Bombyx mori: one gene and its partner. The protein of the gene in region 1 purifies or fractionates together with the protein of each later gene. This does not show direct contact. Links are inferred from orthologs where the notes say so. Each region holds a gene or a part of one and is shown on either strand. Other genes may lie near its edges.

Region 1 (4,177 bases):
ACCCTTCAAACCGAAACGCATTATTGCTTCACGGCAGAAATAGACAGGGTGGTGGTACATACACGCGCGGACTGACAAGAGGTCCCACCACCAGTAATTACGCAAATTATAATTTTGCGTTTTTGATTTTTATTACACGATGTTATTCCTTCACCGTGGAAGTCAATCGTGAACATTTGTTAAGTACATTAAAAAAATTGGTAGTGGTGCGGGATTCGAACACCGGTGCACCGGATACGAATGCACCAGACGTCTTATCCTTTAGGCCACGACGACTTCTAACTTACTACTAACTAACGTAATATGTTTAATAATGTTATTATTTAATTTATCTATGTCTTCGTTTCTGTAATACTATCACATAATCTATTTCTTTTAATTGTCCTAAATTATCTCGTTTTCTTTATTCGGACAAAGTAATCTAATAGCATTTAACACTAGGTTCATAGCTAATACAGTGCATAGTGTAGCTAATGTAATGTTTTATATACTTAAAGACGTTTCATATAGGGTATTTTTAATGAAACATGCTTAACTACAATGTGTATTTTATTTTGTCTCAATCAGTTTTTTTATAAGCCTTTAAGATGTACCTACGTTGTCTTCATCCTTCCATTTGGCAATGTGATCTGGCATTATTTATTTTCTTTTTCGAATTCCTCCAAATAGATTGAAGTCTTTCTACCGAGATGTGGTAGTGGCCTTTTTAGACACCACATATTCTAGATAAGGTAAGGTAGATTGGAATCCTCTTAGTTGTTTTAGCATGACAATCGGCTTCTTGCATCACGTTGCCATTGTCGTATATATTTATTCCTCAATTACTCATGGTTTCCCAGCAACACGGTAGAAATTTACTGAGCGCTAATCTCAAATTTCTGGGAAGAACTAAAGAAGCCATTTTCAGAATTTTTTATCCCATTTTTTCCACATTTTCACAGATAGTAAACGGCTAATATGCCACCATAACTGCTCTTAAATATTAAGTAGATTATATATGATCACTACACGTTTAAACCTGACGAAAAACTAAATTAACAAAGAAAAAAATCACACTTCTTTTCGCCTCACATTCCCATCAAATTCACATTCACATCATATCCTTACGCAGTTTCCAGGCTTAATTACCATTATCCTTCAATTAAAAGCAGCTTTATCAGAGTCGCGTGCAGTCGGGTATTTATTTATTTATAGAATTGGTTCCACATTTTTGACAGGAATATTGAATAATTTTTTTGCCCAGACAGCTTTGCCTTAATCCTCAACACGTAGGTTGTATGGCTTTGTTCCGTTTGCCAGTCTTAGTTAAACATTCGTCAAGAATCAAGAAACGTCAGTCGAGTTCGATTTTGTTTTGGAAGTTTGCAGTGCGGTAGTTGAATATTGACGTCAAAGAAAATTGTAAAGACTTTGTTTTGAGCTTGTTAACAGCGCTGATCGATTAGCTTATACCTTTCAAAGAAAAACTGACGGTTTAGTGAAAGTGCATCTCAAACTATGGAGGTGGATCAATTTGCATTAGAGATTGCGTATCCAGAGGGTTCACGACTACCCCTCATCGACGAATCCTCGGTTCTAGGAACGCAGGCGCCGAAAGACAGGTATGGTTTTTCGACCGAATAAAATCGTTCATAAAAGGTGCTTGTAGGTACTCAAACTTTTCGAAAGCCAAAAATGGTATCGGCCGAAACTTTTGCGGTCGCCCACGCCACAAGCCTTGTTGAAACTATAATAAATTATTATTTTACCAAGATTACTATTTTGTTAGTCATATTGTTAGCCGTATAAGGTGATTGGAGCTTCGTGCTTATAATTATAGTAATCTAATTGGAATTACGTGACGACGTACGCATTCGTGACAACTACAAAGAAGTTATGATTAATTGTAGTCATTAATGAGGTATGTTACATTATTGATTTCAACATCTCCGATATATTTATTTTCATACGAAACGCTAGAAAATAAAAATAGTATAAATGAATGTTATAATACCAAAAAGTGTGAGGTTTTAAAGTTCTCATTTTTGTCTCATTAATTTCTTAATCAGAGTATTTCACTTTTATATTTGTAATATATTATCATTGTTACTAGCAGCAGCAATATTTAGTTTATGTTGTGTTGGGTGAAGAGTCAGATCCTACAACGTGATTACTACAAGATATCAGTAGACTGCCCAAGTTCTTTTTTCTGCTAATCGGTTCTTCCCATAACTTATTTGTAATATATATTTTGATATTTTACCTTTATAAATCAATCCTTCTCCTGTGCCCTGTGTAAATTTCACTGGTGTATTGTTAGCCCACACAGGACTACTACAGCTTTACCTATATCTACCATTGCAACATATTCAGCTTGTAATAAAAAACGTAAGGTTAGCAGTATTATCAATAAAAATTGCCTTTTCCAGGTAACTAGTAATGATATTGACGGTAGAAAGTGGAAATGTCGTAACTTGCTTTTGCATTCTGGATTTTCTTGTATAAAAAAAATACTGCTTCTGTAGTTTCGTTTTCCTATAATAAAATTTTTCATTCACCTTTATTTCATCCAATTTCATACCAATTTTGAACATTATATCTCTATAAATATATAAAATGAGTTATGAATTTTTGAAATAGTTTTATGGCTCCGGTATAAGGTCGGGTTTTTCAAGTTACGACAATTCTGCTTTCTTGCATCGATATGGTCAGTTACTATTCTATATCTCACTGAGTGAAGAAATAAGGGGAATATATTATTGTCTACAGGCTTCCTGTTTCAAAAAGTTAGACCCTCTTATGATAATGAATGAGTAACTCATGGCCCATCCGGTGTTAAGTGGTTACCGGGACCTATAGACATTTTAATTTGAATGAAGGTGGTCACTTTGTCATAAGAGTTTGAAATTTTAATTGATAAGTATATTTTAGTTTGAAAGTTTTGTATAGTCTTAAGTCATGTAGACAAGCTTGCTGGATTTATTGTGACCAGCCAGTTTCTTCGTTTTAATTGTGTTGCTAATGTCATAGTTTATGATTTGGTTGAACTATACAGAAAATAAAATAAATGAAACAATACCTTTGTTTTCACATGTCTTTGGATGCATAAAAGTGACCTTCATACTTTGAACTGTTTTAATTGAAATAAATCATTCAACATTCTCCTTCCTGGTTCTTTGTAAGCAATTAATTGTACAGTTCTCTATTACATAATCACATGTATGTGTGTTGTTAGTAAATGTATTTAAGAAATAGGACTGCTTTTTTTTTTTTTTAATTCACACCAGACACATTACCAACATTCGGTTAAGAGCTTATATGCATATCGACGCTTGAAAGGCAAACGTGACTAAGCGACAATGCGTGAACTTTACAGTAGACTAATTTAAAGTTAAAATACCTGAAAACAAAATTTATTTTAACGAAACCAGCTGTAGTAGAATCTAGCTAGTAGCAGTAGGATTGAAATGATTTTAATAGACCTAGAAATATATATTTTTTGCACATCGAAAATGGTTATTGCCTTTCATTTATGTACAAAGCAGTTATTGTCGCTTAGTCACTTTTGCCTTTCAAGCGTCGATATATATTTCCTTTTGTTAATGCCGAATATATCTATCTGCATATATTGGGGTATTTTTCTATAGTGTTCTTATTTCACCTTCTTCACCTTGATTTTCTAATTCAGTTTATCTCTTCATTTTCTGTAATTGTCATTGTCTGTCATTATCCATAATAAAACATGAAAGAGGAGTGCATGCGGTAGATATCTAAATGAAGACATGTGTGAATGTAGCCCCAGTGATTGATAAATTAAAGAGCGGACAGTTAGGGTGGTATGGACATGTGATGCATAGAGAGGAGATGCATGTGACTTTGAGATGTATGAAAATGGTAGTGCAAGGCAAAAGGGGAAGTGGTTGACCGAAGAAGACATGAAGTCGTGGCCTAAAGGATAAGACGTTCGGTGCATTCGTATCTCGCGATACATCAGTGTTCGAATCCTGCAGGCGGGTACCAATTTTTCAATACGTACTTAACAAATGTTCACGATTGACTTCCATGGTGAAGGAATAACATCGTGTAATAAAAATCTAACCCGCAAAATTATAATTTGCGTCATTACTGGGGGTAGGACCTCTTGTGAGTCCGCACGGGTAGGTACCACCACCCTGCCTATTTCTGTTGTGAAGCAGTA
Region 2 (3,657 bases), on another chromosome or scaffold:
TCTCACCGTGGGATACACTCCGTATTGGTATGTGGTGGGAGGCGGTTGGTACGCGAAGTACGCGTATCCCGGAGGTAGAGCGGCTGCCGGGACCTGGAACAAAATTTACTGTTATAGAGAAATCTATACATATATATAAATAAAATTAGAGTGTCTGTTTGTAATATTGACATAACCGCTTTTTCCTTTTTTTATTGCTTAAATGGGTAGACGAGCTCACAGCTCACCTGATGTAAGTGGTTACTGGAGCCCATGGACATCTACAACGTAAATGCCGCCACCCACCTTGAGATATAAGTTGTAAGATCTCAGTATAATTACAATATTACACGATATTATCCATGGCAACATTATAATTTGACGGGAGCAATTAGCAGAGTTGTAATGAGGGCTTGCGTACCTGCTGCGGGGAGGCGGCGTCGGTGCGCCCGAACCTGTCGCCCGCGCTGAGTCCGAAGGCGCCGTCCCGGGCTCCGTAGCCCACCTCGTAGTAGCCGCCCTGGGACAACAACACAACGTTACGTCGCTTTGTGTCACAGCACTCGCGTTTAGCTGCTTCTATAGAATCAGGTTTATAGCACGCGAGCGCACATCCAACGCGGCACCTCATACGAATATCAAGGGATCAGTATGCTTAGTGCGAGTTTTTTAACGTTCTCGATAGCGTAAAAGTGAGCAAAATTTTATATGCAGTCGGAAAAGCGCCCCTAGCGGCAAACGAAGGCAAACAATCCCATTCCATACAAATATGAGCTAACTTTTACACTATCGAGAACGTTAAAAAACTCGCACTAAGCACACATTTTTTTGTGGTAAGTTATTTCGCGTGGGAGGTTGCTCATGCGATGGACCGACCAAATCAAGTCGGCTGCAGTTGGTGGCATTACATCTACCCACAGCAATGATACTGAATGATGACCTCGACCGCTCTGACAAGTGATACGACAAAGAAGGGTACAATATACTAGCGGCCCGGTCCGGTTCTGCTCGGGTCTTTAACAAAAATTTCAACGATATTTGACGTAGTTTTATTATTTTTAAATAAAAGAACACTTATTGAGGCATAATTATAATAGTTAGACATATGCTGTCGCTGTGTTTGTGTAAATAATAATGTGTTCTACAAAGTCATAGTACATTATTTTATTTTATCATCAATAGTTTTCGCAGGGCACGCGAAGTTAAGAATATTTTAGGTAATTTTTTTACACCTTGGGTTACATTAATGGAGTTTTAGTAAAGATCCCTATTTTTTTCAAAAAAGATGTAGCTTCAATACAAACAAACAATTAAATCTTTCCTCTTTATAATATTAGTATAGATAAAGCAATTCGTTGTCACCAAAATATCTGTGTCTAACTCATCAGCTAGCCACCTGTGATTCTCAGTGAACAAATAGTATTACCATATGGTGCGGATGCGTGGACCTCATGAGCTGGTCGTCGTACGCGGCGTAGGGGGTAGTGGTGGCCCCGCTGTACAACGCTCCTCCTGCGTACGCGCCCCCCACTCCTGCCGCGGCTCCTACTGCAGTAATAAACAAAATACACATTTATAAATTATTGAGCAGCAAGACTTCGAAATTATTTAGAATGACGGGATGACGAATGAACTTTTTACATCGTTTCTACTGGCAGGTCTCTACTGCAGGGACCCAACATCAGTCCCCAGAAAACTGTTACAACATTTTTCGTCTTCAAATGTTAATCAAATCAAAACAAATCCAATCAAACTTTATTAGCTATAAAACACAGTTTACAAAGTTGTTGATAGTTATTTTTATTTTATAGAACAACGTGTTTCTACCAGGTCGGCATGCAAATATTATTCAAAATTATTTACATTAAATGCAGTCAGTAAATATATTTTAATTAATTAAAATATCAAACAACAATATACATTAATTGAATTAGAATTAGTTATTTATGTCATAAAACGAAAACAAAGAACAAAAAGTAGCAAAGTTAAAATTAACATAATGATTTATCATTTAAAAAATTGTTAACTGTACAATAAAATCTTAAGGTTCATAAGGTAAGGTAAGGTTAGAATTCCTTGTCGGTTCGCAAACTTATCTTCAGTTATATTGAACTGGCCGTAGGACGTCTTGTCTGTTTGCACGGGTAGGTACCATTACCCTGCCTATTTCAGCCGTGAAGCGGTAATGCTTTTCGGTTTAAAAGATGGAGAATCCATTGTTAAAACGGAGACTTTAGAACTCATATCTCAAGGTGTCTCAAGGCGGCATTTACGTTGCAGATGTCTATGGGCTCCAGTAACCGGTTAACATTAGACGGGCCGTGAGCTCATCTACCTAGCTAATAAACACTCTAACAACAGTGGCTTGTACCTGTAGTCGTCGTAATCTTGGCTGTCGACGTCTGCGTGGTGGACGTACTCGTCAAACTGTTGCTCGACGCTACTGAGTTGTCATACTGAAAATTAACAAATTTTTATATGAAACTAGCCTACCCAGCGAACTTTGTTCCGCCTTAGAGGCATAAATGAGCAGATTTTTTATTTTATCAAGGCCAGTTTTTTATTTGGATAATTAGTGTAAATTAATAAAGCAAGTATTTTAATAATTCTTTATTGGCCATGTATTTGAGTTGTTGTTATTATTATTATATTTTTATTTCTTGTCCTTCTTCAGTCTTTTCACTCTCAATGTTTCGAATCCTAGTTGCATTACGGTTTCGTCGGAAAAGATTTGTCAATATCTATGGGCTCCAGTAACCACTTGACTCCAGGTGGATTGGGAGCTAGTTCACCCATCCAAACAATAAAAAACTCAACACTGGGTGGGCTATGATTTCATTACCATCTAAACAATAAAAGCCCTTCCCTTTCTAATCGGCACGCACTACCATCACACCGGTACAAGCTCGGCCGAGCATTCACCAGAGGTATTGCTACTTAGCAATGTACCTCTTGAGTTTTATTTTTTTATTTTTTTATTGCTTAGACGGATGGACGAGCTCACAGCGTGGGCTGTGAGCTGTGAGCTGGTGTTAACTGGTTACTGGAGCCCATAAACATCTACAATGTAAACGCGCTACCCGCCTTGAGATATAAGTTCTATGATCTCAGTACAGTTACAACAGCTGCCCTACCCCTCAGACCGAAACGCATTACTGGTTCACAGCAGAAATAGGCAGGGTGGTGGTACCTACCCGTGCGGACTCACAAGAGGGCCTACCACCAGTAATTACGAAAATTATAATTTTTGCGGGTTTAATTTTTATTACACGATGTTATTCCTTCACCGTGGAAGTCAATCGTGAACATTTGTTGAGTACGTATTTCATTAGAAAAATTGGTACCCGCCTGGGATTCGAACACCGGTGCATCGCTCAACACGAATGCAGCGGACGTCTTATCTATTAGGTCACGACGAATTTTGATACAAGTAATATAAAGTGGTACGGACCTGATGCTCTTTGGGTTGGATCTTAGGTTGTGCCGGTGGCTGGTAGGCGGTGTACGGAGCCGCAGTGTACAGCGCGCTGCCGCCGTACACCGCGCCCGACGACGATGTCTGAAACGTTTTGTATGAACATTTGTAATTGACACATATTCAACTATCCAAATTACTAGTGGTCGCCCGGTAGTCGAAATTCGACTATAATTTATTGAAATTAAAAGTTTGTACACTAT

Evidence for each region. The genes of interacting proteins can lie anywhere in the genome.
Region 2: the proteins of BAG family molecular chaperone regulator 2 (region 1) and protein lingerer purify together in Homo sapiens (affinity purification with mass spectrometry; 3 studies listed by BioGRID and IntAct, with this or other methods). This does not show direct contact. The link is inferred for Bombyx mori from reciprocal best matches to the Homo sapiens genes BAG2 and UBAP2.

Annotation. Positions count from the first base shown.
Region 1 is NC_085125.1:2,380,925-2,385,101, forward strand, and holds the start of BAG family molecular chaperone regulator 2, read left to right. Parts: upstream 1-1,290; 5' UTR 1,291-1,497; coding exon 1,498-1,601; exon of another isoform or gene 1,602-1,895; coding exon of another isoform or gene 1,896-1,900; intron 1,901-4,177. UniProt on the Homo sapiens protein: Co-chaperone for HSP70 and HSC70 chaperone proteins. Acts as a nucleotide-exchange factor (NEF) promoting the release of ADP from the HSP70 and HSC70 proteins thereby triggering client/substrate protein release.
Region 2 is NC_085134.1:1,867,763-1,871,419, reverse strand, and holds part of protein lingerer, read right to left. Parts: intron 3,539-3,657; coding exon 3,431-3,538; intron 2,436-3,430; coding exon 2,351-2,435; intron 1,528-2,350; coding exon 1,406-1,527; intron 500-1,405; coding exon 401-499; intron 94-400; coding exon 7-93; intron 1-6. UniProt on the Homo sapiens protein: Recruits the ubiquitination machinery to RNA polymerase II for polyubiquitination, removal and degradation, when the transcription-coupled nucleotide excision repair (TC-NER) machinery fails to resolve DNA damage. May promote the degradation of ANXA2.